Coturnix japonica: one gene and its partners. The protein of the gene in region 5 interacts with the protein of the main gene of each other region in a pairwise test. Links are inferred from orthologs where the notes say so. Each region holds a gene or a part of one and is shown on either strand. Other genes may lie near its edges. The genes, in order: TLE family member 5, PAICS, BEND7, PHF10 and L3MBTL2.

Region 1 (4,211 bases), on a different chromosome or scaffold from region 5:
GGCTTTATTTTGAAGCAGAAAATGCACCCAGTTTGAAAGGCAGGAGGAGAACAGCAGCCAAATCAAGGCAGGATCCCTGTGCACGCAGCAGCCCTGCCCAGCACTCCTTGTTTGTGCCATGCAGGGATCCAGCAGCCTTTCTCTGCTCACTGGAGCACTGCAGCCTCTGCCCATGGATGGGGCTCTGCTGAGGTGCTGCTCTGGGCATGGTTTCTTCCAGCAAAGGAGAGAAGAGAAGAAGCAATGCTTTGCTGTGGGCATTGCAAGTCAAAAACTGAGCCCTGCATTGCAATGGTGGGGTCTGCACTGTGATGGTGAGCCTTGCACTGTGATACTGGGGCATGCAATGTGATGGTGAGCCCCATAATGCAATGGTGAGCCCCATATTGCAATGGTGAGTCCTGTACTGTGATAGTGAGCCCCAAATTGTGATGGTGAGCTCCACACTGCTGGGGTGCTCAGCTCCTGCAGCATCACATCAAGAACCATAAGCAATAGGTGAACAAGGAACGCCAAGGGCAGACGTGTCTGGCCCATCTGGTGGCCTCCATTGATGGCATTGGTGGACAAAGGAAGGGCACAGGCTGCAGTTGTGCAGGGCCTTTGCACGGCCCCACACTGTGCCCATTTCTCTCAATAGGAGAGAGGTGGGTTTGAAGGGTGGGCTGTTTGGTGGGTAAGGAAGTGGTTGGATGGTCATAGCTTGGGATCTGTGGTCGTGGTGGTCCTACAGACCCCCCTGCGCTGCAACTATGGGGGGGCAGAGGGCAGGGAGGGGACTGTCCCGTCTGCTCAGCCCTTGTGGGGACCCACCTGCAGTGATGCATCCAGGTCTGGGATCAGGCTGTGGGATGCTCTGAGCTCTGAGCACCAAAGATCCTCTGCTATGGAAACGTGCTGATGGAGCAGCCATGGAGGCTCCGGGGAGACCTCACTGCAGCCCTCCAGTACTTGGGGAGGGGGCTTACAGGGAGGAGGGGGAGTGACTTTTACCTGCCTGATAGCAATATGGTGATGGGGAGAACTGGATGCCCTTTAAGGCCGACCCCACTCTAAGCCCTTCTCGCACCCACGATGCCCGCAGCAGGTGCGGGGCTCTGGGACACAGCGCAGACCCCAGACCCACGGAGGGTCCCACGGAGCGGGGTCTGAGCGGCACCGGGTCGGGATGGGTGGGCGTGGGGGGGGCAGAGCATCACGGCTGGGGGGGGTAGGAAGGAATTGGGGGGGGGGGGGCAGCTGGGCGCCCCCCCCCCCCCCGATCCCGGGGGGGGGGGGGGGGGGCGAGGGGGGGGGGGGGGGGGGAATTGGGGGGGGGGGGAGCAGCTGAGCGCCCCGCACCGCCCGGATCGCGGCGGGGGCGGAGACGGCCGTGGGCCCGCCCGGCCCGGGGAGGCGGCGGCGGGGCGGCAGGTGGTGCCGAGCAGCCGCAGGACGGAGCGGATCGCAGCCGCCATTAGACAATAGGCGGCGGCTCGGGGCACAGCGGCGCGGGGCGGCCGCGGGGCCGGGCCCGGCGCGGACAAAGGCGGACGGGGAAAGAACGGAACGGAGCGGAGCGGAGCGGAGCGGAGCGGAGCGGGGCGAGGGGACCGCTGCGGGCGGTGGAACGGGCTGCAGCCTGACATGATGTTTCCACAAAGCCGACACTCGGTACGGCGGCACCGGGAGGAGCGAGGAAGGAAGGAAGGAAGGAAGGAGGGAAGGACGGGGGGGAGCACCGAGAGCCGCCCCCTGCCCGCCCGCAGCCACCGGGAACCGGAGCGGGGGGTGCGGGTGACCTTGGGCGGCGGCGGGCTGCGGTGGGGGGGCGGGCAGGGCTGCGGGCCCCCCATTGGGTGTGCAGCGCTGTGTGTGTTGTTCAAGGGCTCCTCTCACCTGCCGCAGCAGCTCAAGTTCACCACCTCCGACTCGTGCGACCGCATCAAGGACGAGTTCCAGCTCCTGCAGGCCCAGTATCACAGGTACGTGCCGGTACCGCCCCCACCGACCGCCCCGAGCATCCCGGGGGGGTCCGCAGTGCGCCCGGAGCTGGGATCCTCCGCTTTGGCATCGCTGCCCTGCACGGACCGGGACGCAGCGTGGCCAAGAGATGGGCTCCGTGCGGCACGACGCGCTGCCCTCCCAGCCCAGCACAGGTTTACCCCCAGGCTCAGCCTCCCCAGGCCGGTATCACCTCCAGGTCCCACCTGGAGGACCGATGTGAGCATCCCAAGGAGGGGGGGGGGACGCCCGGTGTGCACCCATTGCTGCCTTCCTTTCCTTTGGCCACGCAGTTCGGCCCAGAGTTGGCCAAAAGCTGCAATCCAGGCAGGGAACGCTCTGCTCACTGCCCAAAAGGTGGGATTCTGGAAGGAGAAGGAAGGAGAACGCTCTGCCTCCCCCACAGCCAGGTCTTACCCCAATGCAGGACTCCATGCACAGCTCTTCCATCCCTCCATCCATGCACAGCTCTTCCATCCCTCCATCCATGCACAGCTCTTCCATCCCTCCATCCCTGTGCAGCTCTTCCATCCCTCCATCCATGCACAGCTCTTCCATCCCTCCATCCCTGTGCAGCTCTTCCATCCCTCCATCCATGTGCTGCTCTTCCATCCCTCCATCCCTGTGCAGCTCTTCCATCCCTCCATCCCTGTGCAGCTCTTCCATCCCTCCATCCATGTGCTGCTCTTTCATCCCTCCATCCATGTGCAGCTCTTCCATCCCTCCATCCATGTGCAGCTCTTCCAGCCCTCCCTCCTCTCGCTGGGAGTTTTCCTCCCCTCTCCCTGCTGGCTGCCATTCTTGGCTCACAAATGCTGCAGGGAGCACTTAAAGCCAAATGCTTCCGCTTTTCCGCCTGCGGAATGGCTTCTGCTGACCCAAAAGCTGGCTGCCGATGGGCTCTCTTGCTGTTTGCTTCCTAGCTGCACGCATGCACCAAACCATTGCTCCGTGTGTTGCCCTTTCCCTATTGCTCCCACCTCCCCGAGCTCTGCATCGTGCAGCATTGTGGCCCCCCCTTGCAGGACCCGATCTGCTCACAGAGCAGCAGGTTTGGTGGAGGTGAAGCTGTTTCTTGTTTGAAACATAAAACCAGCACATGCTGCTTGCAGCTGCCGGGCTGGGGAGCTGCACAGAGCACAGCGAGCAGCACGTCTGCTCTTAAGGGTGCAAAGAACCCAAAGGAAAGGGGGAAAAGGCATCATTCCAGAGGCCTGCACTGCACCTGGGCTTCCCCAGTATAGGAGGATCTGGTTGCTTTGCTGAGCTGCACTGGGCACACAACAGGCTGGGATGGACCCTGCAGGATGCAACCCAGGATGCAACCCGCTGCCCTGCTGCTTCTCTCACTGCTTTCTGCCTTTGCAGCTTGAAGTTGGAATGCGACAAACTCGCCAGCGAGAAATCGGAGATGCAGCGTCACTACGTCATGGTGAGGAGCTGCCGGGGCAGCGCGTGGGTGGGGAGCAGGTGCTGCTGCTGCTGGGCTCGTGCAAACGGGGCTCCTCGTGCACACAGGGCTCCTCGTGCAAACAAACAGAGCTCCTCGTGCTCTGCACCCTGTGTGTGTGCTGGGTCGGTGGGTGCAGGATGGACATGCAGGGTGTGAGCAGGGAGCTGCTGTCTGTGTGCAGAGCTGCTCTGCTGCTTGAGCAAACTTGGAGTGCTCAGGAATTGACTTCCCGTGCCAATAGCTTGCACTGGAGCTGCCTGTTGTGTGAGGGGGGTGGGTTATTTTGCGTGTGTGTTTCCTGCAGCTCCTTCCCAAGCAGCTGGAGCTGTGTGCAGCTGGAGCACAGGGCTGAGCCCTTCCATTTGCTGCCGGAGCAGCCACGTGGGCGTTAGGAGATGGGCCAGGCACAGCAAACAGAGCCGGGCTGTGCCTGTTCCCAGCAGAGCACTGAGCTCTCCCTGTGATGCCAGGGCTCTGTGAAGGTGCTGAGTGGGCTCTGGGTTAGTTGAGGTCCCACCTGGGCTGGGGGCAGCAGGAAGGTACAGATGTGGGGGTCTCTTTGCATGCTGGAGTCCTCATCGTGTCTGTTTGTTCTCTTCTTCCCCACTCCGCAGTACTACGAGATGTCCTACGGGCTGAATATTGAGATGCACAAACAGGTATTGGGGGGGGTGGGCTGCCTGCTGTGCCTTCTGTCCCTTCAGTGGCATTTCAGGATGTCAAACGTCAGCACTGATTTTGGGATCTCCAGCTCTGGCATTGGGGAGCACCTTCA
Region 2 (4,069 bases), on a different chromosome or scaffold from region 5:
TTGCTTGTTGTTTTTTCTTTCTCCTTTTTAGTCCTATCGAGACCTGAAGGAAGTGACTCCTGAAGCACTGCAGATGGTTAAAAGAAACTTTGAATGGGTTGCAGAAAGAGTAGAGGTATTTCTGTGGTGGCTTTTTTTCCCCTAATGAGCCGTGTATCTGGTCTTTGATAACTGTGTCTTCAGTCCCGTTGACTATTTTGTTCGATTTGTTTTTTTTCCTTTTATTTCTTCTTTATTCTCCCTTGACTATTCCTCATAGTTGCTTCTGAAAACGAAGAGCCAAGGTAGAGTTGTGGTATTGATGGGATCTACTTCTGACCTCGGCCACTGTGAGAAAATAAAGAAGGCATGTGCAACCTTTGGAATTCCTTGTGAGTTAAGAGTAACCTCCGCTCACAAAGGGCCGGATGAAACTCTGAGGATCAAAGCAGAATATGAAGGTAGATGTCAGAGAACTAATGAATGAGACTGAGCAATATCATGTACAAAAATGACTTGTCAACTTAAGGATCTCTGTAAGCTTTTTTTTTTTCTTCCCATAGTTTCTTGTTTGTTGAACACAACAATAGTCTGTTACAATGCAGTTCTAATCTTGTTAAATACATAATGATGGATGGTAGACTGCACTGAGCAATTATGAAGTAAGATGCTGTCTCAGAACTTCCATTACTCAAAAGCTTGAACTGTGATTTTTATCTCATACTTGCACTTCTTTGCTTGAGCCTTGATCATGCTAATACCTGCATCTGTAGGAAGATACTACAGTAAATGTATTTCTTAAACAGGGAGGAGTGGAGGCTTCCTCTAGCTGACTATAAATGTTCTTTGGTTTCCTCCAACGCAGATGTTGCTGCCATCATCCTACTCATTTGTTGAAAATGTTGAATCATTTTTGTACGCGATGAGAAAAAATACTTGATTTCAATTCATATTTTTTATACCAAGAAAACCTGACTTCTCTTTGAAAGGCTAGAGGAGGAGAGATGAGAATTCACTTGTTGGAGTATTCCTTATACAGAGGGGGAAAAAAATACTATTTGGGGACAGGAGGAAGCAGTTAAATACTTGAAAACACAAATGTGGTAATCACAGCTGAGATTCACTGGAGGTGAATTAAGACTTTAGTTAAACTATAGTTCTTTTTTTTATAGTTTTACAGCCAGAATTTAGCTGTCTAAATCTCTCATCCTTAAATGTTGCTGTTTCCAAAAGCAGCACCCATTCCTCTGGCTCTTTCTCTCAAGCAGAGGAAGGGTGAGACATGTTAACTTGTTCAGTTATGGTAAACAGCATCTGGGTTTTAAGGCTGTAAGATCAGTCATTTCTGTAAAGGGGAAAATTCAACATAAATTTTAGTGCTGCGTAACAGAATGAAAGAAATTTAAGTGCAAACTGAAGAACTGTGGACTCAAAGCTCCATAAAAGCAAGTGGGATGAAACAAGATGGACTTGCTTATTCTTTCTTTTTCTCCCCCCAAGGCGATGGAATCCCGACTGTGTTTGTTGCAGTAGCTGGCAGAAGCAATGGCTTAGGGCCAGTAATGTCTGGTAACACTGCTTACCCTGTTGTCAACTGTCCTCCTCTCTCATCTGACTGGGGTGCTCAGGATGTGTGGTCCTCTCTCAGACTGCCCAGTGGTAAGATGATCTTCAGCCTGTGCAATTGTACAGACCTAGCTATAGTTATCATACACATGTACGTGCACTGTTTGGAACAGTGGCTTATCAGTACTGAACAGTCTCTGGAAATCTGCATGCAGTCTTTGGGCTTTTTGCAGCTGAGAAGCCAAAGAGATTATGTACAAATACTCTTTAGAAAGATATGATCCATTGCTTATCCTTGCTAAATATTTGAGTTTGAAACAGGAGTTAATAATGGGAAGCTGTTGTTTCTGCTTATAGTGTTCCATTTTATTAAAGTAAATTTACTTTGATAAAAGACCAAATAATATCTTTCTCTACAATTAGCTTGATTCTTCTACAGCAGTGTATTGCTGCCATATGAATTCTTATCAGTTAGTGACTAGAACAGCTATTTGGCAACTTGCAGGCACAGCAGCCTGTTACCTCTTTCCTCATAAACTTATTGCTTTGCTGGCTTTGGGTTTCAAATGCCATGATGAGAGAAGTATTGAGATATTTGACACTTCAGTGGCTTTAAAACTAAACCATGTGGCTCTAGAGGGTTATCATAGAATCACCAAGGTTGGAAAAGACCTAAAAGATCATCCAGTCCAACTGTTCACCTATTGCTAATAGCTCCCACTAAACCATGTCCCTCAACACAACATCCAGTTGTTGAAACAAGCACTGTCTTAAACAGTCACTTAGAGGCAATGTGTTGCTTGCGCCTATAAAACTTGTTTGAAAGTAGCATTTTGCTTTCTTTGCAGGTCTTGGCTGTCCTACTACTCTGTCACCTGAAGGAGCCGCTCAGTTTGCTGCCCAGATTTTTGGGTTAAACAACCACTTGGTATGGGCCAAACTGCGAGCAAACATGTTAAATACATGGATCTCTTTGAAGCAGGCCGACAAAAAATTGCGGGAGTGCACCTTGTAAGTCCAACCAACAAGTAACTCCTACCAGCCACGCAAAGATAGTGGTGTGCATATGCATTTGTATCAGGATTTGTAGTTGGATGATGTGATCTTTTCTCACAGAACGAAGCATCTTTGGAGCAGCAGATAAGTCTGCTGTGTCCTCATCCCTCTCTTGTGTTGTTTTTTTTTTTTTTTAGTATTAACGACTTAGTAAAAGAAGATAATATTTTAGTTATCTTTCTGTTGTTCCAGAATAGTGTCATTCTGCTCTTCAGTGTATACTATTAACTACCGATGATGGTTATGTCAACATAATGATTTGGTGTGATTTAAATAGAAGCCCACTTTTTTTCCTGTAACAGTAACGTTCTTCCATAGTAATAATGTATGTTCTGAAGCTTATTAACTCAATGGGACTGCTAACTAAAACTAGTGCTGATGTAGTGCTGTAATGATGGTATGCTTTCTTTTAGCAATAAAATAGCAACATATGCTGTATTAATAAGAAAATAGGCTAAGAAGTAAGAGCCTGAAAGAAATAACTGCCTTATTTTAAAAAAAACATATATTTTTTCATGTGTACATGTGTGTATGTATATACACCCCATCAATAACTTTATCACATCATTTGAGAAGTTACTGTTCTCGTTTGTGACAAGCTCTAATTTTGAATGCAGCCATAATTAGGCTTGTTGCCTACTTGCTGTATAACCCTTGACCTAGTCCAGTCAAATATTAGCCCTTCAAATATTAGGCAGATCTACTGTGGACATATGTGATGCTGTCAAATTATCCTCATACACATCAATGTATCTATATTCCCTCACTCTGTTTCTATGGGAATTATACTGAACTGAAGGTAGGAATAAATGGTAAAGCAGCAGAGTACCAGGGGCAAGCCTAAGCATGACTGTCTTGTCTTTGCACACAACATTCTTCAATGTAGGTACTGATTCTAAGAAATATGCAATTACTCAATGTATGTACAATTTATGCTTTTATAATTAAATAAACTATTTAATTCAAAGTTGCTTTGTGGAGACCTCATAAGATACTCATGCAGTAAGTCATCAGCTTTTAAAAAATGGTAAACACTTGTGAAATAACCCTATGTGTTAAAGCAGCATAAAGTAGTAGATCACATTGCTTACTGTTAGAGGAAGCCCAGTTGCTTCTTCATAAGATGTAGTTTTATTGCTGTGTGTGGCTCGTATTTGCTTCTTAATGAGGGTAAACTGGATTGATTTGCTGCCATTGGCCTTCACAGGAAGGACCACATCCTCTTTCTGTGTAGCCATCACAGAGCTCCAACTAGTGCTACCTTCTAGAGTTAAGTAAGATCTTAAGTTCAAAGCCTACACTGGAGCCAAAACAACTCTACCTCATTGTGTAGTCCTGAGGGGGATTTGCTTTTTACTTCTAAGCACAAAAAGAACCACAAACACCTAGTAACACTTAGAGCTGGTTAGTGACAAAAAGGTTCAGACTTCATGGTAAAATATCATCCTTGCAATAAAAACTAGTAGTA
Region 3 (4,051 bases), about 39 Mb from region 5:
GAGGTGTTAATCAAGTAAGTAGCGTTGGGGTTTTCTGAACCATGAAGTGGGAGAAAAGTATATGGGCTGCCTGACGTGTATGGGGTAAAGGTGAAATACAAGCTGCAGTATTGAGGAAGTAAATGCTGTAAGTATAGAATTTATGCAGACTGCACTCAGAGCCCATTAGCTTTTCTTTACATTTCCTTCTTTGCAAGTTCTGCTAGAGAGTGCACATAGGAACTCGGAATTAGATGACTTACAGATCTGCATACCTCAGACATACAGTTTACACGTGGTTTCTCCTCCACTTCTCTCTGTGCATCCAGCTGGGCACCATCCGTTTCTGCCCTACAGCTGCAGCCTGGAAGTCACTGCTCTGCACCCCAGAGGTGCACTCCCTCTCAATCTGCTCACCACACTGATAGGGTGCTCTGAAGCTTCTGGGGACAGACTGAGCACCTTAGATGGCAGGGTTATTAACAGATTGCATTACAGACTGATCCAGCATCCCATTTTCTCTTTGGTTTCCTTCTCATGCCTCGTGTCACAGTCCAGGCGCTGTGAAATCCATATCAATTTCACAACAGTAAACACTAAACTGTGACATTACTGAGCGACTCCAGCAAGAGGCAAAGGCCAATTACAAGAGACAACTATTTATCCATAATTAGCTTCATAATCAACTGTGATAGAAAGAGGCTACGTGAGAACAGACTCACATACAAAACGTGATGCTTATGCCCCCCACCCTCCAAGTGTGAACGCAGTCCTCCAGGATGCGTTTTTCTTTCAGCATGCCTTTCTATTTGAATCCCTACACCCAAAAGCAGACCCCAGGTAAAGTAAGAACCGCTAATAATTAACCACCATAAATGAATTTATCCAATTCAAACCAAGTTAAACAGATCACCTTACGCACTGAGGAATGTTTAATCCTGTTAGGACTGAGAATCTGCACAATATTAATACATTTGCCATAGAGCACACCTTCTTTTTGCAGCACTTTGAGGAGAGAAATAAAAACCGAGGCTTCAATTTCAGTTTTGTTCGGCTGCACGTTTCACTTTCCAGCCCTGCACAAACTGCCTCGGAACATCTGATGCTAAGAAAGCTCACAAAGCAAACCTATTCCTGATAGAAATGAACCCCCTCCGGTGGCTCTGCTGATGTTTACAAAACCTCCAATGAATTTCAGACAAGTCTGACCAGTCATTGTCCTTCTATTTTGAGCAGCAGCATGTGCAATGCTCCAAACCCTACTAGAGTTAAAGCAGTTATTTCAAGCGAGCTCGTTTCCACCTTCACGTTTCTCTGCTTCTCATCTGATTCTGCCACACTCATTTAAAGACCTCACCTCCCCCATTCAGCGAGTACCAAAAGTCACCCCCCCACACACACACACACTCACCCCTAAGCGCTGTATTATCCCAAAGCAGTCACCTGCCCTGAACTTGGCATGCACGACACACACAGCATTGCTGGCAAATATTTCAGCTCAAGACTTCAAGACACGAGAGGGGAAGGGGGGGGCAAAAAGATACATAGAGAGAGGAAAAATAAGAATTCTCCCACCAAATCAATGAGGACAAAAGAGACAATCAGCTGGAGCAGCTCGACATACCCGGCCAACACCAAGCCTGGGGCTGCGAGTCCACCTGTTAAAATGACTTCCAGCAGCTGTAGCTTTGAAAGCAAGCTCACAGAGGACTGAATCAAAGAGCTGCGTTTCATTTCCCGACATGAATCCCAAACATTTTCCCCAAGGATCCCTTTTAAAACAGTCTTCTTTTATTTATTTCCCCCCCCCTTTCAAAAAGCAAACAGGCACCAAGCGAACAAGTTACATGCCAGCAATTCCTCCTCACCCACGGACGATTAATTAGCAGCGTGGATTTTAATAAAGACACCTCGGTGGGGCTTCGCTTTGAAATACGTGCGTAGAGGAGGAAAACACACACACAACAACCCACAGGAGTTGAATACTAAAGAGCTTCGGTGCTGCCCAAGTGTCATTATTTCGCCTAATTCTCCATTTCACCTTTCCTTCCCTCCAACCCCCCCCCCCACCCCCCTCCCAAAGGAGGATTTGCAATGAAACGCGATCCAACTTTATTCGGTAGGAGATCACCCTGGAAAGAAACAAAACACGTCCACCTTTTGGGGGTGGCTTTTTCCTTCTTGTTATTTTCTTCATTTTGAGGAACGCAGAACACACACACATATATATATTTTACAAGGGAGAGAGGAGGGAGGTTAAAAAAAACACGATGAAATAAAGAAGAGCTGCAACGCTTGGGAGAGTTGATTCCAGAGTTAAATAATAAATACGAGGAGGGAGAGACACAGCCGAGCTGGAGGGAAAGGAGCACGCACATTTCATAACACCCCGATCCCAAACCCGGCCCCGTTTATGCAAAAGTCCTCTTCAGGCACAAACAAACAGACCAACGGCACAAAGCCTCCCCCCCTCCCCGCCGCCACTTTACCTTCGTTGATCAGTTTAAAGCTTTGGGATTTCCTGCTTCTCTTCCTCTCCGTAAACTCCATGGTGCGGGCGGGCGGGAGGGAGGGAGGAGGAAGAAAGGAGGGAGGAAAAAGGGGAGCGAGGAGGGCGGCCGCGCGGCGGGGAGCCGCAGGACCAAGGTCCGTCTTTTTAATCAGCAAAAATAAACGCGGCCCCGGGAGCTTTCGGCTTCAACTGCAAATAAAAGGATACGGGACAAGTTCGTTCCGTCCCCCCCGCCTCCCCGCGGCGCCGCCCGCCCTCCCAGGCCGCCCCAAACTTTGAGGGGGAAGCGGGGTGAGGCGGCGGGGGGGAGCCCGGGGCGATGCCGGCCAGCGGCGCCGCCGCCTCCCCCGCCGGGTGCGCGGCCCGCAATGGCTCTGCCGGCACCGGGACCCCGCTGCCACCTGCTGGGGAAAGGCGGCGAGCCCCACCGAGCGGGCCCCGGCTTGTTTCCGCAGGCCGCCGCCCGCCCTCCTCACAGCCGGCCCGCCCGCCGCCTCACGCCAGGCCGGGGAGGCTGTTGGCCCCGCGGGCGGCCTGGCCCCGAGGCCGGAGTGTGACCGGAGGGAGAGGGGCTGAGAGGGCAGCGCCATTTTGTGTCCCCCCCCCATCCCGCCTCCCGCCCGCCCCTGCACACCCCTGCACTCAGCCGCCTGCTGGCTCCCTCTGCCGCCGCCGCTTCCTACGAGCCACGCCGCTCCCTCAGGGCTCGGGGCCCCGGCTGCGACGGAGCGGCGGCCCTCGGTGCGGCCTGTGCAGCCTCGGGGCTCCCCGAGGGCCTGCCCAGGGCCCAAGGCTCGCTCAGGGCCGGAGGGGAACTTTGGGGGTGATAGGAGGCGATCCCAGCCGGGCCCGGGCTGAGCTCTGTGGTGGTGAGCTCTGTGGTATTGAAGTTGTTGCTCCATAACTGTGCAAAATCTAGTTCAAATACCCCAGCAGCAAGGCTGGGCTGGAGCCCACGAGCTCATCACAACCATGTGCCTGTTTGCAGAGTGCTGTCTTCTAAGCCAGGCTTCACATTCAGTAGTTAAACGTGATATCCCATAGTAAAGAGTCCCAGTCTTCTGTAGGAGTGCCACCCAGCAGGTCACCACAGCCATATGGATGATCCAGACGCAGCTGAACTTAATGCTTTATCCACCAGCTGATGCTTCCAGCCACACTCCTGGCTCGCTTATTTCCCTTACGTTACACTAAGTGCATTTCTGGTGCAGTTTTAGCTTTTACAGCATAGCGTGCCTACAGAGTACCCAGACACCGTTAACCAAAACACAGCTCCCAGTCTTCATCTTGTGTTTTACATGTAGTCAGGCTGTGTCATGACAAGGAGAGGAGTAAGTGATAGATAGCTACATGGTCACACTTGAGCAGAAGCCGATCTCTTGGTCTAATGAGAGTACCCAGGAGAATTCTATTGGCTCCAGTTGTATTGACTGACCCCATCGCTTAAGGGTTAGAAAATTGCTCAGAGGAAAACGAATGTGAATGTTAACAGTAGTTAATATTAACAATAATGATAATTAATAACATTATTTGTATCGTAGTGCTGCTTACAGACACAGA
Region 4 (3,511 bases), on a different chromosome or scaffold from region 5:
AAGTAACGAAGTTCATCTGGAGAATATCTGAAGGTAGTAAAATAAATAAATGAATGCCTGTGCGCTTTATGCGTAGATATTACTCACAAAATATGTATGAGAATTAGAGAGAAAGAGTAAGAAATGTAAATAATTCCAACCCTCCTCTTAAGGGAAGCACATATAGACATGCACTTCTCAAAATATAGGAAACTTACGGAGTTATCCCCACAAATGTTACACTGTTTAGTACTTGTCATCTTTGTGTAGGTAGATATTCGTGGAACACAGGAAGAGTATATTTGCAATGTTGCAAACCTGAGCAATCATAAAATACCTGAATGCCTACAAATTTTTGATCAATCCATGCCAACAAACCATATACTTTGTTTATAGAAGTACACAGCATCAGTTCTAACCCACAACACACAAACGGCTGGGGTCCAAAGCAAAATAAGTAAAGATGATAGATTCCAGATCAAGTTTCATGATTACTGAAGGGGGAAAAATTGCAAATAAAAATAACTACAGGATAATGTCAAGATCTAACCAGATTATCTGAACAGACCAAATTCAGGCACCACAGTACATCAGAGAAGGAGACACTCTAGCAGCAAGTGCTACATACATGATGTTGACAAAAGCCCCCATGCTGCAGCACATTTATTAGACTAGCGAGGGCCTCAAGCATAAGAGTAATTCAAAACTCTGCTGCAAATATACTCAAATGTTTTCCACGAGCTAGATGTAGAGATCAGTTCAAAAGAAACAGCAGCTGCAATGCTTTTAAAATACCTTTTGTAATACTCCTGGAACTGGCCGGGTATGAGAGCCACTGGATAAGGACTAACCTTTGTTCTCTCCGTAGGCAAGATTTTGTATTTTCCTTGAGGCACCTGGATAATCTGTTGTTTAACACAAAACAATGAAGTTCTTGTTTTGTAAACTTTTAAGCTTTCCTTACCCTCCATTTCCTGAAAATATTTATGCGTGTGCCAGTTTATGCCTTTTACTCAATTAGAACAGCTACCTGAGCTCTCCCATGGAAAATTCAACTCACTAAAATGACGAGAGATCCCACTCGTAAAACAGTATTACAGATTTAAGTCTAATCAGGATGTGCTTGATGAATTGAAAGAAGACTGTTTCTAATAGTACAGTATGTAAAATAATTTAAAAATAAAAATCTAGCAATTGAAGCAGTAATCGTAAACTTCTGTGAGAAGTATCTTTGATGTTAATTATTATTGTGGGTCCATACTGGTAGAGGGTAGCAACAACACTGCCATCTAATGCCAAAAATCAGACTGTGCCACTAAAAAATCCCACAAATAACACAAATACAGGGAAAAAGAATCTTAAAGAAGCCTTCTTTCCTTAGAAATGAGTCAAATTAATTACCCACCATCTTGTTTCTAATGTATCACTGTCAGGAAGATGTCACCTTTCCATAATATATTACATATATATTCGATAACATATGTAGCATCTAACAAAAATAAGGGCATAAAGTTCGATTCAAAGCATTCTTTCAGATAAACAGCTTAACTTTTAAGTAAATAGATTGTTCAGAGAGAATTTTAGAAGCGTTCCAAAAGAGAACTGGCCATATATATCAACAGATATAACAGAAGCTTCTTAAAAGTCCATATGTCTCTAAAATGAGACTAATGAACCCCCTGAATGGTAAGATTGTTAGAAAGGTTCTAAGAAACACCCTTACTAAAACGAAGATCTACCTTTCAACATTGATAAAAAAATATAGTTTGCCTACATGTGTCTGTAAATCAAAATAGGCTCTTCTTTCTTCCATTCGCTCTCGGTTTAAATTGCTGTTGAATTCTGCAGCCTTCTTGGCAGCTTTTTTAATATATTCTGGAACTTTACTGGCTTCTACTTTCTGTGTGTTCTGCTGCTGCATTTGCTGAAACAAAAACAATCTTATTAACTTACACACATTTCACCACCAGTTTGCGAACATTTGTTTTTATCTTCCATGCTACAGATCTGGTTCACTTAACATATTCTATTTACTTACAGAGTACTCTTTGTAATGATCTGTTATTCGCTGACGTTCTTTCTCTTGCAGTATAACAGAATACTCAGCATGTTTGGCAGGGTATTCTTTAATCATAAGATCAATTACTTCATCACTACGCAAAGCTGTTAGACCTAAAATAGATAAAAGCAATAATGATGCTACCTGGCAAAACCAACCGTGGGTTATTTATATCAAACAATCATCAAGTGAAGTTTTTGAGCAGCTGAAGACAATAACCTACAATGCACGACACTTCACCCTCTGTCACATAGGAGTGAACTTATGACATTTAGCTTTTGAGGCTGATTAAGGTTTTGCTTCTTCCCAAGGAGGAAAGATTCTTCCCTTGCTTACAACTACAGAAGCTAAACTTCATCTTCACAGTGACTGTCACCTACTAAACTTCCCTAAGAGGCAGAACTTCTGCTGAAAGCAGGACCTGGTGATGTTTGTTTCAGTTTCTTGTACTGGTGAATGGCCAGTTTCACTGCCTCACACTATTTTAATTTCAAGGTCAGGTTCTCTGTACAAATCAAAAAAGAATCACTGTGAGGTCAATTCAGAGCAGCAAACTGCAGACAGATGCCTGATTCCTGATTAAAGTATTTCAAGTTCAAAAGTCAGAACATGTCATTTTGCAGCTATCAAGTCACGCAGAACATCTCTTCAAAAGATTCCAATGAAACTAATACTGTTTACAACAGGACAGAAGTTGGCGTATGTTATCACAGGGACAGCTGATGCACCACATGCCTCTGTTGTATATCTGAGATAGAATATAGCATTTTGCTTCTACTGATAAAAATTAGATACGGGTATATCCTGCATATTTAAGTAAAACTTTCAAGAGAGCTGGCAGCTGAGAAACAAAGGCAGTGTACCAAGGACTGTTAATTTATAAAGTAATGTAATTAACATCTGCACAGATCCATGGGTACACTGGGAAAAAAAAAAGTGACAGGCATCCTTTAATTTTTAACACACTCCAAGTCACACATACTAGCAGAGGAAGAACAAACACTTGAAACTCTTCCAATATAAATTGCATTAATGACAATGTTCTATTGCATATGCATTTAAGTGGCTTAATATTCACCCTTCTGACATCTAAGACATAAGCTCAATTCCATGGAATACACTAACGTTTGCTGAGTCACTACAAATTCAGCCAAAAATACAGATGGAGTTTTAGTTTAAAAAATCATGCTGTTCTTTTTCTGTTAAGGAGAAAAAGGCTCTAAAAGCCAATTTACAACATAGGTTTTACTAAGAAATTGGAACAAAATTAAAATGTATGTTTTTATGATCAATATTGAGCATTGATATCCTTTGGCCAGTTTACATAAACAAAAATATAAACTAGTTTTCAGGTCAGAATTTACATTTTCATTTGCAAGTGACTTCTCTACCAAAACTGAATCACATTTTCAGTGGGTCATTTTTTATACTTTAGCGAGGAATCTTATTCTTCTCTTACCTAACGTGCATTGA
Region 5 (4,076 bases):
AAGCAGTGCTCAAGAACCCTCTCCCCAGGCCTCTCTCCACTCAGCACAGGAGAGTCCAGTGCATGCAAAGTGTACCACACATGTTGTGAGGCACAGCAAAGAACTCACGTGTTTGAAGCAGCTGACTGGAGCTGCCTTGAAGCCATGTTCCTGCAGGTACTTTCCCCAGTCAAAGCCCAGGACTAGTGCTAGGAGCAGACAAGAGAAGAAAGTAAGGCAAAGAGGTTTATCTAAAAGGCACACAGTACTCAGTTACCTCCGGGCTACAACAAGGGCAAAGCACTCTGTCCCAGAGAGCATGGACTCTGTATTTGAGTGCCTTTTCCCTGAAGAGGAACTAGATCCCACAAATGGTGTCAACTTGCTCTTGAGAAATGGAGCTGGGGGGGTATCTCTGGGGCCACAGCATCTCAGAGAAATCAGAGTGAAGCATGGGGCTATTAGTCTTACAGTTACCCCTTCTAAAGATATACCTCCTCATGACTAGCCTACACTCACCGTCCTGGCCTGTCAGAGTCCCATCTGCGAGCTGCCCCGTGCCCTGTGAATGGAGGAAGGCCCCGATCTTGGCAGACCAGGCTGCCTTGTGCAGGACTTTAGCTTTCTTTGTTGGTGGCTTCCCCTACAAAAGAAGGAATATTAGTGGAATAGGAAGGGAGAGAAGCTTGCAACTGGACAGGAGGAGGCACACATCTCTCCAGGGATGATTTACAGATTACTATTAGTGCTCTCAGGAACCAGAAGATACAACAAATAAAATATAACTATGCCCTTCCCCAGCTTCTAGAAAACAGCACTGCACAGTTGGTATGCTTTTCTCTGGGGGCTTCAAGCAGAAATAAACCACTGGTAATAGCAGTCTGAGACCTCACAAGACAGCAAAAATCCATCCCTCTACATGGGCTTTCTACTCCACCCCTGGGGAAGGAGGGATTTTGACTCACCTGCAGTCTGGCCAGAATGCTGGCCTTCTTGGAGTTGGATGAATAGCTTCTAGAGCATGATACACTGCAGAAACGTTTGGTCTTGGAGAAAAAAGCCTCCCTGGTTCCCACAATCCCACACATCTCGCACACAGCTGAGTGGAAAAGCACAAAGATACAAGCAGTCAGCAGGACCAGTGCTTTATAAGTGACAGATCTAAGCCCAGGAAATCCCCACTACACATAGCAGCTCCTCCATGTATTACAGAACATGCATTATCAGTTCAGTTCTGCTCCCAGAGCATGCTTTGGTTTCCTCCAGCTCTCATTCTTACCATCATACACAGGAGAACGGGCACTACCTGGCTCAGAGCCGCTGTCTTCTGTGATCCGGCTTGTGGGTGGCTGGTGCACAGGGGAGAGTGGAAGACCTCTGACTTCCCGATCTGCCACCTCATCATCACTAGACTCTTCCAGGCAGGAGCTGCTGTCACTGCCCATGCTGCTGTTGTAGCTCCGGAAGCTGTCATAGCCTCCAAACATGTCCAAGTCATCATCCTCCTCTTCTTCCTCCTCCTCCTCCTCACCTTCCACCTCCGCCTTCTCCAAAGATGAAGTTTTGTTGCAAATGGAAGACGCTGCCTGACAAAACAACCAGTCTGCTTTAAAACAAACACCTTATGCCAAATGTTTACTAGCTTGTCTTCACTGCTGAGAGGACGTCTAGACCCAAGAGAAGCCTTGGACTGTGCAAGAAATCCACGCAACAATCCCAGATTCAGAAATCTAAAGAATCACAGAAGCATAGAATGGCCTGGGTTGAAAAGGACCTCAAAGATCATCCAGTTTCAACCCCCCTGCTATATGCAGGGCCGCCAGTCACCAGACCAGGCTGCCCAGAGCCACATCCAGCCTGGCCTTGAATGCCTCCAGGGATGGGGCATCCACAGCCTCCTTGGGCAACCTGTTCCAGTGTGTCACCTCCCTCTGTGTGAAAACCTACCTCCTCATCTCTAACCCTGTTTCAGTTTAAAACCATTCCTCTTTGTCCTATCACTGTCCAGACTCAAACAGTTGTTCTCCCTCTTATTTATGTGCTCCTTTCAAATACTGGAAGGCTGCAATGAGGTCTCCCTGGAGCCTTCTCTTCTCCAAGCTAAACAAGCCCAGTTCCCTCAACCTTTCCTCACAGGAGAGGTGCCCAACCCTCGGATCATCTTAGTGGCTCTCCTCAAGCCGTCAAAGCCACAGCGAGCTTTCCACAGCGTACCGAGCTACAGGCTCCGGCCACCAAAGCTCACAAAACTAATACAGACTAAACATCAGCTGGACCAGCTTTCTCCAGAGTTGAATTTATAACGAATTGTGATGACGGACCAGCAGCAAATCCACCTCCTTCGCAGCCCTTTCTGCGGACGCTCCTTCCTTCAGCTCGCAGGAAGCGAATAACTCGGGATCGCTGCTCCGGAACCAAAAGAGCCCGAAAGCTGCGATGCATCCCCCCCCGGCGGCGCCCCCTCCGTCACTCCCTCCCCCAACACCCCACTGACGCCACATCGGGCTCCACACAGGGAGGCGAACCGCCCCCCCGCAGCCGTTAAACGGCCGCCACAGCCCGGGCCGCGCGTCTCCCGTGGAGCACAGGGCGGCCCAGCCCCCCCCAGCCCACGCTGCGGGGCTTTGCAGAGCACTGCGCGGCTGTGGCAGCAGGAGGCCTCTCGCAGTGCGGTACCGCCCCGGCCCCGCCGCCGCTCACCTCCCCTTGCTGCTGTTGCTGCTGTTGCTGCTGTTGCTCCTGCTCCATGGCTCCCAGGACGCTTGCCCGCCTCACGCGCGTGGAGCACTACCTCCCCCGCAGCCGCGCACCCGATTGGCCACAGACGGAAGAAAATGAGCCAATCGGAGAAGAGCTTGTTCCCGCCTCACTCCCCGCGGGGCACGACGGGAGGCGTAGTTCTATTTCCGCTAGAAGGGGGCGGGGCGTGGCCCAGAGCATGATGGCGGCCTTACAGGGACCTTACGGCGTCCCGGGCTCCATCAGAGAGGGGTGGCCAGCAGGGACAGGGAGGTGGTTGTCCCTCTCTGCTCTGCTCTTGCGAGGCCCCATCTAAGTACTGCATCATGGTATGGAGCCCCCAGTACAAGAAAGACAGGGAGCTGCTGGAGGGGGTCCAGAGGAGGGCACAAAGATGGTCAGAAGGCTGGAGCACCTCCCTTATGAAGACAGGCTGACATCTTGCCATCAAATACACCTTTCTATTCACAGCTTATGCTCCTGTGTTAGACCAATCATCGTACTTGTATCTGAATATCAAGCTTTTTATTCCAAATTTCATACAGCCACGAACATCTGTCCACTTTGCAATAGACCATGGCTTTTGTTTGGCACTTGACTGAGATTCCCGTGCAGACAGGCTCCTCACTCCATCATCTTCCATCCATCTTTTCCTGAAGGCAGCTTGCTCGTGTCATTACCTGGGCTTGGTGGACACAGGGACAATCCCAACGCCTGTGCTGTGCTCTGGCCACAGCCAGATCTTCAGGTGCACAAAACACAGGTACAAGTTACTCCCCACACACCCATGGGGTAAAGCTGTGCTCTGGGAAGCCCTCCCTGCCTACTCTGCACATATGGCTCGCAGGCAGTGAACGACACACCAGGTTCAACAGCACGTGCATGCAGTTACAGCTGGCACACACAACTGGCTTTGCTACACACACGCTCCCTAGTTGAAGCATTTCTGTACAGGACATCCCCCAAATAGGGGAATGTGCTTGAATTAAGAGGCAGCCGCCTGCACGCACTGCTGTCAGGTGAGATCAAGAGCACTTCAGCCTTTCCATGCTAAGTGACCTCAAGCAGCCCATAAGTGGGTGCAACAGCATTAATGGGGCACCCATCAGCTACTGCAGCACAGCATCTACAGAATATCCACACCAGGTTCTCTCTCAGGCTCACACTTTGGTGCCAAAAGCTGAACAATGTATTCCAAGTGAAATAGGATCTTTTAATATCACATATCCAAACAATAGTTCTCATTTCAAAATGCAAAATAGGTCTTCTGAACATCAGCTGCTCCCAGACTGGCCGGGTGCAGGTCAGCTGATGAGGTCAGACCTCGTTTCTTTGGTAAAATACATTGCCATGAACAA

Evidence for each region.
Region 1: the proteins of L3MBTL2 (region 5) and TLE family member 5 interact in binary tests that used the Homo sapiens proteins (3 or more experiments, as listed by UniProt). The two-hybrid records come from large-scale screens. The link is inferred for Coturnix japonica from reciprocal best matches to the Homo sapiens genes L3MBTL2 and TLE5.
Region 2: the proteins of L3MBTL2 (region 5) and PAICS interact in binary tests that used the Homo sapiens proteins (3 or more experiments, as listed by UniProt). The two-hybrid records come from large-scale screens. The link is inferred for Coturnix japonica from reciprocal best matches to the Homo sapiens genes L3MBTL2 and PAICS.
Region 3: the proteins of L3MBTL2 (region 5) and BEND7 interact in binary tests that used the Homo sapiens proteins (3 or more experiments, as listed by UniProt). The two-hybrid records come from large-scale screens. The link is inferred for Coturnix japonica from reciprocal best matches to the Homo sapiens genes L3MBTL2 and BEND7.
Region 4: the proteins of L3MBTL2 (region 5) and PHF10 interact in binary tests that used the Homo sapiens proteins (3 or more experiments, as listed by UniProt). The two-hybrid records come from large-scale screens. The link is inferred for Coturnix japonica from reciprocal best matches to the Homo sapiens genes L3MBTL2 and PHF10.

The regions. Positions count from the first base shown.
Region 1 is NC_029543.1:645,287-649,497, reverse strand, and holds the start of TLE family member 5, read left to right. Parts: upstream 1-1,400; 5' UTR 1,401-1,626; coding exon 1,627-1,653; intron 1,654-1,866; coding exon 1,867-1,964; intron 1,965-3,351; coding exon 3,352-3,415; intron 3,416-4,050; coding exon 4,051-4,095; intron 4,096-4,211. UniProt on the Homo sapiens protein: Transcriptional corepressor. Acts as a dominant repressor towards other family members. Inhibits NF-kappa-B-regulated gene expression. May be required for the initiation and maintenance of the differentiated state.
Region 2 is NC_029519.1:58,382,269-58,386,337, reverse strand, and holds the end of PAICS (multifunctional protein ADE2), read left to right. Parts: intron 1-31; coding exon 32-115; intron 116-259; coding exon 260-440; intron 441-1,479; coding exon 1,480-1,638; intron 1,639-2,393; coding exon 2,394-2,560; 3' UTR 2,561-3,568; downstream 3,569-4,069. UniProt on the Homo sapiens protein: Bifunctional phosphoribosylaminoimidazole carboxylase and phosphoribosylaminoimidazole succinocarboxamide synthetase catalyzing two reactions of the de novo purine biosynthetic pathway.
Region 3 is NC_029516.1:6,097,479-6,101,529, forward strand, and holds the start of BEND7 (BEN domain-containing protein 7), read right to left. Parts: upstream 2,803-4,051; 5' UTR 2,530-2,802; coding exon 2,469-2,529; intron 1-2,468.
Region 4 is NC_029518.1:36,960,566-36,964,076, reverse strand, and holds part of PHF10 (PHD finger protein 10), read right to left. Parts: coding exon 3,498-3,511; intron 2,152-3,497; coding exon 2,018-2,151; intron 1,904-2,017; coding exon 1,754-1,903; intron 885-1,753; coding exon 775-884; intron 28-774; coding exon 1-27. UniProt on the Homo sapiens protein: Involved in transcription activity regulation by chromatin remodeling. Belongs to the neural progenitors-specific chromatin remodeling complex (npBAF complex) and is required for the proliferation of neural progenitors.
Region 5 is NC_029516.1:45,392,521-45,396,596, forward strand, and holds the start of L3MBTL2 (lethal(3)malignant brain tumor-like protein 2), read right to left. Parts: upstream 2,811-4,076; 5' UTR 2,728-2,810; coding exon 2,680-2,727; intron 1,566-2,679; coding exon 1,259-1,565; intron 1,079-1,258; coding exon 945-1,078; intron 623-944; coding exon 499-622; intron 189-498; coding exon 109-188; intron 1-108. UniProt on the Homo sapiens protein: Putative Polycomb group (PcG) protein. PcG proteins maintain the transcriptionally repressive state of genes, probably via a modification of chromatin, rendering it heritably changed in its expressibility.